Linked DNA regions of Drosophila melanogaster. The protein of the gene in region 3 interacts with the protein of the main gene of each other region in a pairwise test. Each region holds a gene or a part of one and is shown on either strand. Other genes may lie near its edges.

Region 1 (2,801 bases), on a different chromosome or scaffold from region 3:
TGGGTACTTCCACTTTGACCTGCCCGAGGGAGGATACATACGGGTGTTTTATCACGTGGATAAGTACGGCTTCTATACCGAAACTTTGCACTGACATAGAATGATTGAGAGTGTGTGTGTGTGTCTGTGCAGTTCTGCCATAATTGGAAACCAGATTTATTTCAACGAGTCTAATTTGTATTTAAGTTTATAAAAATAAAAATACAAATGCAAATATAGATCAAAAAGTTGCTTAAAACCGTTATAGAAATGCTGTTTAATATCTCGTGATATTCGGTAAGCAGACGTCGAAATGATCTGAGAATTTGTGTATTTGAATTTTAATAATTTAGCAATTCAGATTTGAGAGAATGTAGCCATCTGTCCAATACGTCATAGATTTCGGATAGGGCTTGGATGCTGGTGGGCCGGCTGAACTAGTTTGCCAGATCGGGTGGAGCGTCGATTGATGGGCATTTTATTAGGCGGAGTGCTAAGTGCGAATAGGCCTAGAATACAATTTATTACTGGACAGCGAATTTGTATGCTAATAAGCTGAACTTGCTGTTTTTTTTTTTTGGGGAATTTAAGAATTCCTTGATGAGCAAACAGGTTGTCCGCCTGCGCTCATAGCAAGCCAAATGGCCAATGATAATGAAATCGAAACGAATGATAAATTGGATTGGATGGAATTAAATTAGCTCGCCACGAGCTGCTGCCCCCTTCCAAATCCAAATCCAAATCCAGGTCCATCTCTAAACTTACCATCCACGGGCGAATGTCACAGTCACATGTTCCATTACCGTCGACATAACTCCAAGCCCCCAAAAGCTAACCAAAACTACTATTGGCCATTAAGTGCAAAGTCAAATGATTACCGCTACCAAGGCAGAAGCGTGTTGATCCATCGGCAGAAACCACTTGGAATGGGTTCAGGTGCTTCATTATACTCTAGCTAAGGCTGATATTATTTGGATCAGAGGTTTGCTTTTTTGAGATTGGTAAGATAAGTATATTGTATAAATATTTGAATTTGTTTTCGAAATGCAAATGTTTCAAGATAAGTATCATAAGCCACACCCCTTTTAGAGGCCGTGTAGTTCAAAGTCTTATATTGAAAAAAGAAGACACAAGCCAGTTTAGTCATTGAATTACCCAACTTCTACAGAATTACCACAATACACTTAATTTTAAATGACCATGCATGCTAATTTGTGCTTTATTTAAGGAAAATTTAAAACTATAATCCCTTGTTTGTTCTTCTATAAGAAAAAAAAAACGAAATAATAGCTCTCAAAGAAGTGAGCCCACAAGCCCGATTAATCAAAAAGAAAATAGTTTCCGATTAAGACGAAAATTGCTAGGCAGATAATTAAACTAAGCTAAGCCAAATGCCTATGATTTCTAGGTAAACTTAGCAATATCTGGCAAGGGTATTTCGCACTGCGGTGCTGAAATTCAGATCTCCTTTCCATTTTTTTACTAGCTGCTGAGCTGAATTTTATTCAATTCGATCGGTATGCTGCTGCCGAAAAAAAAAAACGACAAACGTATTAAGTTTGATATTTAGTTTGGAGCGGCGTTTGGAGTTCAGAGCCAGATTAGAGACGTCAGCGATGGCGACGCCAACGCCAAAGTCGGCGTTGCCGTTGGCTGCCTATAAAAGCCACCGCCTGCGAAGATCACCCAACCAGTGAGGATTATACAAGCCAAGAAACCAGCAAGATGTTTAAGCTAGTGAGTAGACTTAGCCGCCCGGAAGGATCCGGATTCAAAATCAGAACGTGAACGTGTGTAACCATTTCAGTCGCTCTGCCTGCTCGCCGCTCTGATGCTGGCCAATGTGTATGCGGACAACATAAACAAGGATGCCGTGATCACCCGCGAGGATGTTAATCCTGCCGACGCCGAGGGCAACTACCAATACGCCTTCGAGACCAGCAATGGTATTCAGGCCCAGGAGGCCGGAAACGTCAATGGCATTAGCGGAAGCAGCTCTTACATCTCCCCCGAAGGCGTCCCCATCTCACTGACCTACGTCGCCGATGAAAACGGCTTCCAGCCTCAGGGCGATCACCTTCCCACCGCTCCCCCAATCCCGGAGGCCATCCTCCGCGCCCTGGAATACATCGCCGCCCACCCTCCACAGCCCTAAATCCCCGATTGGATACCCCATTCAAAGCCTAGTCAGTGCTTTTGCTAAACATGAGTTATATCTAGTTCTAGAAAGTCTGTACATAAATCCCCCAAAAAATAAAAACATAAATAGTTACATCAAATATACCCACAGCCATGCTGATCATTTGAACAGAGTCAAGTATGTTTTCATTATACAAATCGGCAAAAACTAGCTGTACCAAATTGCAAACTTAAACTTCCCAGCGTCTGTTTTTGAATCCATAATTTTTAACCCCAAATTGCATACAAATTATATTATAATATCTTAGTTGTTTTTGGAAGGTCACACTTTTGAGCTGATATTTCTTTTGGGGTAAGGTTATTTAATCACAGATGCAAATGAAGGAACTTGAAATAGATGTCAGATTGTGTCAAAATACTTTATTTTAACCTGATTTTTCATAACGTTTTAAAGTACGCCTCCAATATCGGTTCATTCATTCATCAATCTTGAATCTGAGTCAGGAACATTAGCACATACTGTTTCCAAATGCTTTTCATAATTAAATCAATAATCTTGTGTTTGAAATGTGTTACCATATTAAGACAAATTAAACTGCTGTCCAAAATCATTTATCACACTGCAAACCAGACCCAGGAACTAACCAAGGCAAAAGAAAAAATTCAGCATAAGCAACACCAGA
Region 2 (7,763 bases), on a different chromosome or scaffold from region 3:
TTAACAGGCCCTTAGGGAACAGCATAATGATATGCTGCTCCAAAGCAGCGGGCGGGGATCTAGGTATAAACAACTTTACAACTCCATGGATGTGGAATAAGCTGTACTGCCCAGTTGTCCAGCAAAATAGCAAACAACCTTGAGTGTGCAAATAAGGCGTTCCTTTGGCTCAATAAAGCAATATATCTGGAGCTGATTTTCGTAAACAATTTATTTTTCCGATAAAATTCGAATCTCCTATTATTAAAATCACTTTGCCATGTCTTGAAGTAACTTAGGTTATTATGATCAAATTTTCGGAATAAAAAGAATTACGTAATTAATATTTGAATGGGTTATGTGTGAAGGAATTACGGTGGTAAAACTTTTCTATAACAAGTGTGCTATGGCTCTGACTTCGAATGGAGCTGCGATGTGAAGTTCTATGAAAGCCTCATTCTGCTACTGGAATCTGTTCGGCCAACACCTAATATTGGGTTCTAAATTTTCAAAATAGATTTTCTTTCTAATATTGCACAAAACTAACAAAAATGGCGGTGCGACCTTTTGGTGAGTGAGAATTCATAAAATTGTAATGTGGTAAATAATATATTATACATGCTTTTTGTAGGCCCTGGACCCGGCGTTTACATGCTGCCCCCCACTGTGGGCTATGATAAGCATGACAACCGCAAACAGCGGTTGCCGCAGTACTCTTTCGGCATGCGCACCCGTGCTCCTGGTGAGGATCTGGGTCCTGGTCCAGGGGCCTACAAGGTGGACAAGTTGACTCGCTATGGCACGAGCAAGGGTTTGGAGTTCTCGATGGCGCCCAGAACCAATGTCATCGGTAAGATAACTTATTAGTACTGAAGACAAGAACGTTTTTGGTTAAATTGCTTAATCGTAGATAAGCGAAGCAGTCCCGGTCCGGGAGCACACGATGTTCATAATAGGCCATTCTTTAAGGGGGTTAATGCTCCTTCGTATTCGATGGGCCTACGAACGGACTTTAACTTCAAGAAGGATGGTCCCGGTCCCAATGCCTACAAGTACGAGGTCAATGCCGTTCGTCCTGGAGTCCCGAGCTATAGCATGTGCGTATTTCAATCCTACCATAGTTATTCCTTTACTAAGTTGCCTATTTTTATTTGTACCTGTATCTCAGGGGACTACAAACAAAGATTTTGAACAAGACGAATTCTCCGGGTCCGGCTGCATATGGCGGTGGTGATATCAATGTCAAACTGACACGTGCTCCGATATACTCGATGCAGCCGCGCACCACTATTCCGGGCGAGAATGTCGGACCTGGACCCAACTACTACGACCTCATGTACTATCGTCCTGGCAAGAGTGGACCGGGCTACTCCTTTGGTGTGCGCCACCACCAGTTCGCTCCGCCTATGATAGTTAGATGTGACAATATGTAGACCAAGTGCAATATTGGAAGAAATATATGCTAAAATTTTTGTGAATAAACAATTCTTTTTAAACCAAGTTTCATTGTTTATGGAAAATGCTTAACGGGGTATTAAAATGAGATTGAATTTGTTTTAACTTGGTAGAACGCAATGAGCGTTACCTTTATTGGAAAAGGAAGGGAGCATTTTGATGCTAGTGCGCCTATGATGTGATACACTTGGCTCTGTACATGTCTAAAATACAAGTAGTCCCTGAACGATGTGTCAAATTAACATTTGATAATAGAAATTTTTGGAAAAAGCACATTTACATTTACATTATTATATCAACGTAACGGTGAGTTTTTAGGCAGACAACAACACGCGTTACTATTTTACGGAATTGAGAGTAACTGAATTTGTATTTAGACTATCCCATTTCAATTTCGCGGGCAAATGCTCATCTTGTTTCAACCGTTGTTTTCTCTTAACAGAGCGCTGTTATCAAGATAATGGTTCGAGTGCTCGCTTAAAGGCACTGGAACTCGGAACCATTGATTTTATCTAACTCCGGTATTTTTCAGTCACAAAATTCTTTTTATCAAAGTTTCTCGTTTTGTTTGTAGATTTTGCCTGTTTTATTTATAGTTTTTCGAAAGAAGTTGGCGAAATTGTCCAAGCAAATTTATAGTTTGCTCCAGTGTCCGTAAATTAGATGTGTGTTTGTGTGTCAGTGGCTCGTCGGGCATATTATAGGAATTTGTAATAATTAGTGGCCAATAAAGGGAGAAGAAATATATTCACCGAGCATTCGCCACGGCAAAGTTCTTGCCGTCCATGTTCCCAGCTTACGATTGGTAACATGATGAGCGATGTGGCGGGTGCGGCCGCTCCAGGTGGTACACCAGGTCAACCGCAGCAGGAGCAGGAACAGTCTTTGGCGGAGGCTGCTCCGCGTACACCGACGCTTGCGAATCCTCCTCCATCCTCACAGGAGCTGGGTCGGACCCCCAACCAGGAGAGCCGCCATAACGCAAATTCCCACTCCCGTCGATCGGGTGGTGGCCAGGTGCCATCGAAAGCCCAGGGTAACACCGAGTCCCAGTTCTTCTTAGAGGATGGGGTTTTTCGCATTGATCGGCGCGGTCGCGTCCATTTTGGCTTGGTAACCGCAACGACCGAGACCTATTCCTCCTCCGAAGAGGAAGATGTCGATTCGCTGTCCAGGGGCGAGGTGCGTGTGGCCTTCTATCCGGGTGGCAAGGAGATGGTGATGACGGAACAGTCGGTGAGTAAACTCCATTGAGGTTATGTAAGTCTCACGGTCTCTCCAAAAAAATAACTGTTTTCACAACTGTTTTGAGTTTGCTCTTCAAGTTCTTTTGACACGTGTTTGTTTGCTTCTTTTCTTTTGTTCCATCGACATCCGAACATGTGGCATATACACAGATTGGTCTGGCGGATCGCACCCTAATGCCAGGCGATGTGGTGCGGAGGCGTCTGCCAGGAGAAAACGTTTTGGCTGGCCAGGCGGGCTACGTGCGGGATGTCAATGTACGCGCCGATGTTATGGTAATGGGCTCCAGAATGGTCATTAAAAATGTGCCCGCCGAGCGACTGCGTCCGATATCCGAGTGGAACCAATATGTGCCTCTCTGCATGGACACCTGGATAGGCACCATCATAGACATTAATGAGTGCGCTGTGCTCAAGTATGTTTCATATCTCTCAATCAACTCGGGCGAACATTATTTTCAATATTTTTTTGCAGATCATCCAACGGTGCCCGTGTGGAAATCACCTCCAACGATTTCCACAAGTTTAAGGATGCTGTGTCCGAATGCGATCGCACGGTCTTCAATCCGAATGTCTTCTTTCCAGGAAACATTGTAATCGGTCGCATGCCGCCCCCGGATCGTGTCAAGAATCTGACCCCGGAGATTACCCATCCCTTAACTCGCAAGGGTCGTGCTGTGGTAGGGAGATATTAATCCTTTATAGATTTGTAGTCTCAGATTGACCGATTGTATATACTAGTTACGCTATTATTTTATGTAGCATTCGCCCTAGTTTGATTTGTCATAGTAGATTAATTACATTTTTACTTAACTAAAGAAGGCCCTCCCATACTATCGCTAATTGAAAATAACCTTATTTATCCAGTACACCGTGGAGTCTGTAGAAACTACATCAATTAATGTGGATTGGTCCTGCCGTGCAATCGGAAATGCCACGGGCAGCGATGACACAGACAGCGATCCTCTAAAGGAGCCAAGGTCCTTGATCAAGGGTGAGGAACTGCACAAAGTCAAGCGCCTTAGCCTCTATGAGTCCTACGAGCTGCAAATTCACGATCGATTCTACCTCAAATATTCAAAATGTGATCTATTAGTTAAATATGCCGACTGGGAAAATGAACAAGGTAGGATGTTAACAGGAAATAGGTTTAGAGGTAACAATAAATTATATATATATATATTGTATTTCACGTATTACAGCGGAGAAGTACATCCCCATTTTTCACGCCCAGAAAAAAATGCAGCGCAAGGCCAGCAAATTGAACGCATCTGCTTCCACTAGTGGAAATGCTCGCAGTGTACCAAAGTTCCGCCGCATGCCCAATAAAATCAGCGGTATGCGACTGCCTCGACCGCCAAGCGACCAGACTCACAATGCTTGCAAGTCGTCTAAGCGCAGCAAAGAGGATGTGTTGACATCGGAGGATGAGGATGAGTTCGAGGAGTTCATGCAGCCACTTGATCAATCGATGACTGCCGAAAAAGAAGTGGAGGTTGCTGAGGACGCACTGCCTCCGTCCGCTGCTACCACAGCTGCAGCCGGTGTCGAAGTCCAGGCTCCCAGAATAACGATGCGATCTGCTAAGAGGCGACAAGTAAAGAAAAAAATCCGCTCTGTCAAGAAAACAATTTATTCGCCTTTTAATAAAAAGGAAACCACTCCCAAGGATGGCGATGAAATCGTAGTGGAAACGCTGGTCGTTTACAGCTCGGTGACGGTCGTCTGGCAGGATGGCACGGTGGAGTCAGGCGTTCACTCCACTCAGCTCTATCCTATTCATCATTTGGACAACCATGAATTCTTTCCCGGTGATTTTGTGACCAAAGCCAACGATATCAGTACGGGAGCCACAGACTACGGGGTAATTCAGTGCGTGGACCATGATGCACGCATAGCCAAGGTCATGTGGTTCAATATCTACACGAATATTGATAATCCAATGTGAGTGCACTTTTTTGTTTTTAGCTATATAAATTATAATTCTATATATTTTGTTTAGCCCTTTGTTCAAAGGATTGGAGGAGCTGAGCGTTTATGACATGAAGGATCACACCGATTACCAGTACCGACCCGGCACAGTGGTGATCCGAGTGTCAAACTTCACGGGTGAGGATGTTAACTCTACTGCTGGTCAGGTGATCGACAACTACCCGAATGGTCGTGTGCGTGTTTGGTGGGCGAAGGGCCATATCACATTGTGCTACCCTCAGGATCTCTTTCAACCATTTGAACAAGATGAACAAAATGAACAAGATCAAGATGTCTACGGATCAGATGGATCCGAAGACTCGTGGGAGACGGAATCGGAAAACAGCCACATATCGTCATCGGACAACGATGACGACATTCTTACGGGCATTGACAGAGCCACAGAGGCAATGAAAGTGCTAGAAAAGATGTTCCGCGTTTTACATCCCAATCGGAAAGCGGAAGTGCTTTACGATCTGCTGGATGTGTACAAAAATTGCCGGGCCTTAGACCGTTTGCTAAATACTAAATTTTTCGACGAGTTTAATTTCAAAGGCATTGTGCGTTGCAAGCCTATTACCTCTAAAGTTTGTTCTGACAGTGCCACCCATGAGCGCGCAACCCCAGAGACCCCAGAGACGTCGGCCGCCGTTCCCAAAGAGTCATCAACGCTCCAAGCTGAGTTGGAACCAGTTTTAATGGATCCGTCTGTTCAGTCATCATCAAGTCCTACTAAGCGAAAATCCTCTACGGAGATGGATGAAGTTCTATGCAAAAAGAGCACGGATGAGATCTCGGAGGAGCAAGATTACCAGGTGGAGGTAGTAGAGGTAATAGAAGATCCGCCGCTAGTGAGGGAGTATCGCTGCAAGTACAACGAAATGTTCGCCAACGCACGTAGAAGCATTGCAAAAGCGATTGAAAATCGTACTAAGGTAAGAGTCCTTCAAACAATAAAGAATTTTGTTTTTTTTTTACAACTTATCCTTTGCTGCCAGAATGATTCTGGCGTACACTCTCGCGGTGAAATCACCTCTGACGAGTCTAATAATCATCCAGACAGCGAAAATAAGTTGGACATAAAGCATCCCACAATAAATGTAATGGATGATTTGGAAATTGAATTGGTTGCAAGTGGAGATGCTGACGTCTGCGAAGTCTTCTGTTATTTGATCAAGTTTCAAATGGCCAGAATTCGCAAGACGGTCGCTGTGACGTTGGGCAAGACAAATGACAATCCCAAGCAAGAGAAAGAGGATGTTAGCGATGCAGAGGAAGCTATTGAGGCGGTCAGCCAGGAAGCGGAACTAGCCAATGATGGTGCTACCGAGTGCAATACAATGGCTGAGGACGAAGCTATGGAAGAGCCATTGAATCTCAACGCGCTTTCCGAGTCACTGCCGGCTATTGACCAGACAGGTCCCATGGCCTGCTCCTCACCATCTTGGTCAATAATTCCAGACACGCCCTCCGTGGACGAGAATTGTTTCCAAGTGCTGCCCAATGCACCAGCTGCACATAATTTTATTAGCAACCTGATTACCCCGGCCAACAAGGCGCAGTATCAGCGAGCTGTGCAGCGGGAATATCTTATGCTTAAGTCCTCGCTACCTAACGGAGTTGTGGTACGTGCCTACGAGGATCGCATGGACCTAATGTCTGTAATGATGGTGGGTCCCAAGCGCACGCCCTACCAGAACGCTCTATTCTTTTTCGACTTTCAATTTGGGCGCGATTACCCGAAGAGCCCGCCGGTGTGCCACTACATCAGCTACTGCACGGATCGTCTCAATCCAAACTTGTACGAGGGTGGCAGGGTATGTGTGTCGCTACTTGGCACATGGATGGGACGCGACAACGAAGTTTGGTCGCCCAGCAGCACCATGCTCCAGGTGCTCGTCTCCATACAGGGACTCATACTGGTCGATGAGCCCTACTATAATGAGGCGGGCTACGAAAAGCAAAGAGGTAAAGTGCTGTTTCTATTCAATGCCATAGACTGAACTTAAAATGGTTTCGCCATTTATTTTTAGGCACCCAACTGGGCAATGAGAACTCTCGTGTCTACAACGAGATGGCCATCATAAAAATTGCCCAATCCACGGTGAAGCAGTTGACAAATCCGCCGCTCATCTTTCGCAATGAACTTATTGAGCACTTCAAGGAGTTTGGCACCGAGCTGTATGCCCGCATGCGGGCCTGGTCGGAGTATTCTCTTGAGGCACAGCGCCAAAATATAACCAAAATCAAGGGTGAGTCAGCCAATAACTCAGTTTTGCTCGATTATTCATAATCCATTTTCTTAGACATGCCTGTGGAGTACAAGGCGTCTTGCGAGCTACCCGAATTCCCGCTGCTACCATGCAGTCGAGGCTTTTGCATAGCGGTCAAGCGCGTTTTGAGCCAACTTCAAAGCGAGCTAACTGCCTTGGGTGCCAATCTGGTTACGGATGAACGTAATGGCATTGCGACTGGAATTGGCACTGCCCCGCGCGCTGCTCCGGAGGAGATCTGATTGCCACTCATCCTGGCCAGCGTATGCCTATGAAAATGGTGCCTATCAGAAGAACCACAAGACTTTTGCCGCCTGCGTTTTGGGAGTCTGATCTGGCCCTCGGCAAGTGTCAGCGTTTTATAGCCCCTATCTCGAATCTCGAATTTCTATCCGCTCGTATTGCTGGCAGACAGCCTTTTAGTTAAACAAAATTTTCTACGATTATTGGTTATTAGTTTAAAAAACAACAAACAAAGCTGAATTATATATAGCGCGCAACTAAGCATAAATTGTTAAAGGAATCCGCCTCATGTAATGTCAGCGAGTTTTACTTTATGTTGTTATCAGGCCAGCTAACAAATAAAATTTAATGTTTTGTTGCGAATATTGTGAACGCTGGCCTACGCGAATATTTGTAGGCATTCCACTAGAACCTAGCTTAGTTAGTCCATCCCACGTCCAATCAGCACCATGTACGTAATATTGTAAGCTAGCCAATGCGAGAAATGTGAATAAACTAGCAATTTTATTTATTATGCCTCCAATTTCTGCTTTATCCAATCGATGAAAGCCCCCCTGAGGGTATATACACCGGGTTATCCACCGAGGCCGCACTGCTT
Region 3 (4,039 bases):
CTATAAATGCCCCAACAATACCCATTATGCATTGTAAAGAAGCGGTGTGTTGTCCACTTCGATGTACTCAGATATCAATGAATGTAAACATATTGATTACATAAAAACGTTCACTTAGTGCAGCAACTTGCGATAACCTACAAATGTATTTGTTAAATTAAATACTATATACATATATATTATATATATTTACGGATTGTATGTGTAATACGAATAATGCGCCCTGTTAAATGCAACAAGGAGATAGGGATCTCAGCAAATATACAAGTATAAATTAATCATTTAGAGTTCGTGTGCGTTATAAAACAAAAAGGTAGTGAAAGAAACATAAAACAAAATTTACTCATTTAAAACTTAATGATCGATTTAAATAGCGAACCCAGCCATAAAATCGGCTTGAACATTTGCGAAACACTATTGTAATAGATAAACTCCTCAAGCAAGATTCTCAACTGGACAGCCCCTCAAGAAATAATAATAAATACATATTTTTAAAAATTAACCCAAAATCACTAAGGTATTCTCTTTGCGTTAGTAGCAATATTTTTGCGTGTATTTAAAAGGTGACAAACATTTCATCTGAAAATGTACTCGGTACAATATCTTATCATCTAGTTTTTAAAAAACATTTTTTTTGTATTTCTTCTCCTTGCTTATTTTTGTAGTCGTTTCTTCTTTTGAAAACTCTGGAGCTAAATTAGGTCGTTGTTTGGTTTTCCACTCTTCTACAGTTAGATCACTCCACTGATTTATGCCCTTCTTGAAAGATTCCACTCCCAATTCGAACTGCTCATTGTGTTCCTGAATCGCTTTCCAATTGTCGCAAAATATAGTTCGGCGTTTTTCTGTTTCTTTTTCATCTTGATATTTCGCACCGAAATCAATCTGTAATAAAGATATATTCATTCAAATTCTCAAATTCTATTTACATTGCAAGCCAAATATTACCAAAAACTTTTTCCATGCTGCCTGACATGTATTATCATCCCTCTTATCCTTAGATATTTTTGTAGTAGCTTCAACTTTAGAAAACTCTGGATTAAAAGCAGGTCGTTGTTTGTTTTTCCACTCCTCAACGGTCAAATCACTCCACTGATTTATACCCTTCTTAAAAGAAATATTTCCCAAATCGAATTGAACATTGTGCTTATGTATCGACTTAAAGTTGTCGCAAAATACATTTCGTCGCTTTTCGGTTTCAGTATCATCTTGATAAGACGGCTTAAAGTCAATCTGCAATTGATAAAAGCAACTTTAATAAAAATTCTTTAAATACCCAACCATATCTTACCAGGAACTTCTCCCAAGCCGGCTGGCATATGATATTATCATTATCTATTTCGGATGTAGATGTAGTGGCTTCTTCCTTACGAATCTCGGGAGCAGGACTAGATCGTTCCTCAATAGTATGATCAGTCCACTGATTTATGTCCCTCTTGAAGGGCTCTGCCCACTTTTCATACTGCACATTGTGCTCCACAATCGCCCTCCAGTTTGCACAAAATACATTGCGGCGTTTCTCGGTTTCATTTGCATTCTTATACTGCGCTCCAAAGTCAATCTGTAATTCATATCATACATATTAATACCAAGTTGGTTTTAATAACCTAGCTAATCTTACCAAAAACTTTTCCCATGCAGCCTGGCAATTGACTTTGTCTCGCTCCTCCTTTGATGATTCACTAGCGATTTCTGGCATAACTTTGGGAGTTTGTTTCTCTTTCCACTCTTCAAAGGTAAGATCACTCCACTGGTTGATACCCTTCTTGAAGCTGACAACTCCCAAATCGTATTTCAAATTGTGATCGCGAACTTTTTGCCAATTTTCGCAGAATATATCACGTCGCTTTTGCCGTTCGTAGTCATTATCGTAGTGTACATCAAAGTCGACCTTGGAGTGTATACAAATAACTTCCTTGAACGATACCCTTTCTTGGAATTATGCGATCAAAAAACTTACCAAGAACCTTTGCCATGCAAACTGGCATTCCTCCTCGAACTCAGATAAGCCAGAGGTGTGTTCAATTGTGGGTGTCGATGAGTCAGCGTCGCTTTTCCCAGTAGTAACCCCAATCTCTGGATTGATTTTTTGTGTAGCAGGTGATGATGTGCTTACTGGTACGCCCAGAGCCACGCCCATCAAATACAGGAGCAGTGGGACGCCAAGTAAAATTCGAGCTGAGGTCATCTTGAACACTTTTCTCGTACTGCGCTCCGCACTGCCAGAATCGCGAATTATATGGGGAATACATACATATATAATTGCAAGTACTCAAAATCAGCTGCATTCAGAGAGAAATCTAAATAAAAACCGACAACGAGAGCGATTTCTTTTGCTCTCTTTTCTCTTAAGTGTTGATCTTTTAAAAGAGTAACTGCATTTACGTGACCTTGCCCACCAAATATATAACAACTGGCATAATTGCTTTATGATTTGTTGCAATAGTATTGAATTAAATTAATTTGAAATTTAAGCCCCGTTTTTATACCCATTACTCGGCGGGAATACTAGGCTCGTTGATAGGAATGTAACAACTACATTCTAGATATGTATGTGTTTTCCACACAAATGCTGTAAACAAACGTTACGCTGCTTGCAGCTTTTTCTGATTAACGGGTATGCATTAGTCGTGACACCCGACTGTAGCGTTATTTCTTGTTTATATTAAATTTGTCGCAAATTTACACGGTTATACGGTTATGTGTGCATTGTTCATTTTCTATCCACTTTGCCAAATTGAAATTTATTACTTTCTCAAACAACTTCCCACACAGCGTTGTTCTTCATTAAGAAAATGTTTCTCAAAAAATAAATAAGACCGAAAATTAATTTTTGTGTGCATAGCCGTTAAGACTACGATCCAATTTCTCAGAATTTCCCCAGAAAGCAACACAAACCGATAAGGCACTTGTTTCATTTATTAACCGCGTGACTCATGGAATCGATGTGGTGACCCACACAGCTTACGACTACAGTAACAAAGTTATAAATTCGTGGTTTTTAATTGACTATACTATCTAACTAATTGCATGGCGCAGTTGTGAGCCTACAGAATGGGGTAGCTGCACTCGCTGGCGATGCCGCAGAATCCACCTGCATTCCGGAGGATGCGCATAAAGCCGCCCTCGCCCCAATTCTGAGAGTACGAGTTCTTGATGATCCAGTAGTCGCGTCCATTTTCCGTTCCATAGCCCACCACGGTTACCGAGTGATTCAGTTCGCCCTGATTGCACTCCTCGTCCTCGTAGATGCCACCGCTGTACTGCTCAAACGAAATGGTGTCCGCGTTCATGGAGCACGCCAACGGTCCCAACGTGGCAATCACCTCCTTCATCTTCTCCTCATCCCCGGGAGTAATGGTGGCATAATCGCGAATTTTCACCAGACTCTCGCGCGGTGGACGTCCGGCGGTTTCGTTCTGACGGCACTGCATCTCCGTCTGTGTGTACGGATATTTGTTGGCCAGCGTTACACCGTGATCGCGTATGTACTCGAAACCGTACTCCTGGAAGCCACCGTCACAGCCCATGTTGCCGTAGTCATCGGCACAGTCCACCAGATTCTGCTGCGACAGCGAGGCCAGCACTCCAGTCCGCCGGAATAGATGTCCTTCGAGCGCTCCTGTGGTGGCGAACGACCAGCAGGCACCGCATCCCACACCCTGGAATCCCGGTGGCGTCACTCCGCCCTTCTCGCGCCAATCGAACATCTCGGGAAGATTGGCACTCGCCGGATTCCTGGCAGTCACAAAGTTGATATGGCCATTCGTATATCTCCTGCAAGGTAAGTAAAACATTTTAGTATTCCGTTAAGCAAAGATTAAAGCAAATTAGTAGCTTACTTAAGTGGCAACCAGACTACATTTAAATGTTATTCATAATGTTCTTAAATGTATGACAAACAACCGATAAGTTATGAAACATTTGTTATGGAGCTTCGTCGTAATAAATAAGTTCGATATGGAAGGGTTTTGTTTGTTTCCACCCATTTGGTTATAGTTTTCGGGAAACCACAAACCTATGGTCGGAATATTTGATC
Region 4 (3,014 bases), on a different chromosome or scaffold from region 3:
AAAAAAAAAAATGTAAAGCAGTTAGAATCGTAGGATGTATAAAATAAAAAATTTATTTAAAAAAAAACATGTATGATTAAAGAGTTATGCACGAAATAAGATGTACTAAAACCTACATATGTATATATATGTGCTTTATGTGCTTATGCGCTTTAGTTTATTGTTTATTTTAGCACTCTGGCTTATTTTAATGATTCAAGAATCAGCGTCTTAACATAGCCGAATATCAACAAATTGGTAACTTTAAATGGTTTGAAAATCGAATTCATATTCCCAGCTTAAATGGCTACTCGCTTTGGGCAACTATTCAAGAAATGTTTAAATCATGAAGTGCAGCCAATTGAGTGCGTAACTTGTCGCTAAAGCTGAAATTGGCGTATTAACCAGTTCATTAAAGGTGACATTGTTGCTAAGGATTAAGTACTAGGTAATGCCTATGAAATGAATATTCCCCAATGCTCAATCTTATCCCTGCCATTGTAAAATAATCTTAATCAAGTTTCGTTTTTATGTAACATTTGTTATTATTTGCGATAGAAAAAGGTTTGAGAGTAGAATAAGAATGTGACAATAAGGATGTAGATCTAGGTTTGGTCATTTGCTGATGATAAGTTCTGTTTCTTAATAAGGCTTTTGGCTGCGTTGGCGATTCTGGTAGGAATTTCCATGGGCAGATCCACCTACATTTGGACGTCCATGAGCTCCAGCAGACGGACTACGCGGAGCTCCACCACGAGGACGAGATCCGGTCACTCCAACTACGGGCACTCGACGGGATCCTCCAACAGGACCAGAGAGGGATCCATATCCAGAGATGGGTCGTTGGGTCTGAGGGGCAGCGGAGTAGCCACGGGTTATTCCGGCAGCTGGAGCTCTAGATGAAATAGCTCCAGACTGATGCACTCCCACCCCGGATTCCTGATTCACCGACGACAAATACGATCCTTGGGCGAGGACAAGCAGGACACTGATCACCAAAATATAATAGAGTGCCATTTTGAAATAGGTCTTTTAATTGTGTGCTTGAATGTAGAGTAGGAAGCAACTGATACTTGGCTTAAAAGGAATTACTCCTTTTATAGCAGATACCTGAGTACTTAAAAAAAACATGAATGCAGTTAAAGGTACATATTATGTTAAAAATTAAATTATATGACAATTTTGATAATGTTGTAATGGAGAAACTGAGGTCAGATTTTATCTGTAATATACTCCAATGATCCAGTTTTGTAATTTCAGTGTTTAGCAGATGATAAATCAGAATGAAAGAGTTCAACAACCACCTGCTATTATTCATATAAAAAATATGAATGAGTAAATATGAATTCAAGTTAGAAGCACATACCTTAGCAAGCGTTGTTATATGTAGCTGAACACAAAATTTCATAGAAAAAACCAGAGATATATACTACATGCGCAGACGCATTTTCAACTCTTAAATCAATTTATGCATAAAACATGACTAGCAAGACATAGAAGGCTCTTTTTCATAAAATTATGGTCTAACTAACATTACTAGCAGCCATGGATTTAATTGGCATATAGAAGGCTTGATTAAGCCGGCCAATTGGTAAGCCAAAAAAGAAACACCCGCGATGATCGCGGTTGCCAGGAAGTAAGGCATTTGCGAAAATAGTTTTGAAAATATAGGCTCAAGTGATGGAGACCCAAAATAATGGTTAACCTTGCCATATATAGCTCAGGGTCCGTTTATTATCCATAACAATGAAAGCAAATTAGGCTTACGATTGTTTAAAAAATTGCAAACCCAATTGAGGTTTGATAGGTGGGCAATAATAATGAAAAAATGGTAAAAATGAAATGTCATGGTGGCAACATTGAATTACGTAAATTACGTAAAATCATTTTGCGATTTCTGAAATTTAGAAAGTAAACACAAGTGTGTGAACCATTTTTGGGTGTATCACTCATATGTGTTCAAGTATGCTTTTAATACCAAATATTTTATAATTACTCGGCATAACATTTTTTAGGTTTGGTTCTTAGCTTTAGGCACGTAATTTGCAACTAATTGAAACTCTACTCTGGTGCAATATGACTCATTCGCACCGTTGTCGCCAGCTGTGCGATCTAGGTGTTAACATTTTTTATTTACCTATTTTTCGTTTGTCAAGCTAACATGCGAGCGTTGTGGTTTCCAGTTACTCGTTTTAATTTTAATTACATTTTTCGTATACAATTAGCTAACAAATCAATGAGAAACCGTTAGACAAAAAGAACAAACACAGAAAAATTGTATATCAACAATTGCTCAATCGATCCGATCAAATAACAAATAACTTTGTGCCGAATATTGACATTTCGTAAGCATTTGAAAAGTGAACGCGACAACAACAAACCTAAATGCAGTGCGTTGGTAAAAATCTTGAACACGTTAAGAATGTTGGCAAGGTTGTCTGCCACGGCAGCTGCTACTTTGTGATTTTGTGGGCCTCCATCTGAGTCTCGATCCTCCGACTGCGTCTCAATCCGAGAGTCCAACTTAATTAAATTGGATTTTATGTGCCGTATTGGATCGGCCATTTGGGGCCCCGGCGACCATGACGAGGTGAGGCTAATCAAATGGCCAAATTGTAGGCGCGTTTACCATGCAGCCACCAGTCAGCTAAAGTAATGAGCTTTTTGTCGGCTACACGACTCTATTATGATGAACATGGCAATCGTCCAGCGATAAATATCAATTAAGACACCGTCAAATGCCTCAATGGCAGCAAGAAAATTGGTAAACTAATACCGGCGACATGCTAATGTTTTGCTCTACATTGAGACTGTGCGTAAACAAAAATGTCACACGCCATTAAAAATTACTAGCATGTTTAAATAGCAAAAAGCCACGAAAAAAAGTCTCATAATATTAAATAGAGAAAAAGCAGTCAGCCGGACTCAAGGCAGTCAAACCGGGCCGATAATACAAAATTTCGGCATTAAATGCTCATACAACAACGTCAACTGCGAGCAAAAATTGAGTTAAATAAAAGAACAAAAACGTGGCA

Evidence for each region.
Region 1: the proteins of CG6357 (region 3) and Cpr78Cc interact in a two-hybrid assay, tested with the Drosophila melanogaster proteins (one large-scale study listed by BioGRID).
Region 2: the proteins of CG6357 (region 3) and CG10254 interact in a two-hybrid assay, tested with the Drosophila melanogaster proteins (one large-scale study listed by BioGRID).
Region 4: the proteins of CG6357 (region 3) and CG14332 interact in a two-hybrid assay, tested with the Drosophila melanogaster proteins (one large-scale study listed by BioGRID).

What each region holds. Positions count from the first base shown.
Region 1 is NT_037436.4:21,298,917-21,301,717, forward strand, and holds Cpr78Cc (cuticular protein 78Cc), read left to right. Parts: upstream 1-1,663; 5' UTR 1,664-1,704; coding exon 1,705-1,716; intron 1,717-1,786; coding exon 1,787-2,134; 3' UTR 2,135-2,255; downstream 2,256-2,801. Other genes in the region: CG43702 (uncharacterized protein), read left to right, coding at 1-94.
Region 2 is NT_033777.3:23,688,930-23,696,692, reverse strand, and holds CG10254 (uncharacterized protein), read left to right. Parts: upstream 1-1,709; 5' UTR 1,710-1,740; intron 1,741-1,966; exon of another isoform or gene 1,967-2,167; 5' UTR 2,168-2,244; coding exon 2,245-2,670; exon of another isoform or gene 2,671-2,687; intron 2,688-2,831; coding exon 2,832-3,094; intron 3,095-3,153; coding exon 3,154-3,358; intron 3,359-3,545; coding exon 3,546-3,804; intron 3,805-3,880; coding exon 3,881-4,622; intron 4,623-4,680; coding exon 4,681-5,584; intron 5,585-5,647; coding exon 5,648-6,617; intron 6,618-6,682; coding exon 6,683-6,901; intron 6,902-6,955; coding exon 6,956-7,164; 3' UTR 7,165-7,686; downstream 7,687-7,763. Other genes in the region: prt (portabella), read left to right, coding at 8-100; CG10252 (uncharacterized protein), read left to right, coding at 531-549, 611-829, 890-1,076, 1,148-1,412.
Region 3 is NT_033778.4:13,838,227-13,842,265, reverse strand, and holds CG6357 (uncharacterized protein), read right to left. Parts: upstream 2,214-4,039; 5' UTR 2,189-2,213; coding exon 1,961-2,188; intron 1,892-1,960; coding exon 1,622-1,891; intron 1,562-1,621; coding exon 1,292-1,561; intron 1,234-1,291; coding exon 949-1,233; intron 886-948; coding exon 619-885; 3' UTR 523-618; downstream 1-522. Other genes in the region: CtsL2 (cathepsin L2), read right to left, coding at 3,048-3,777.
Region 4 is NT_033777.3:17,421,181-17,424,194, forward strand, and holds CG14332 (uncharacterized protein), read right to left. Parts: upstream 1,023-3,014; 5' UTR 997-1,022; coding exon 622-996; 3' UTR 510-621; downstream 1-509.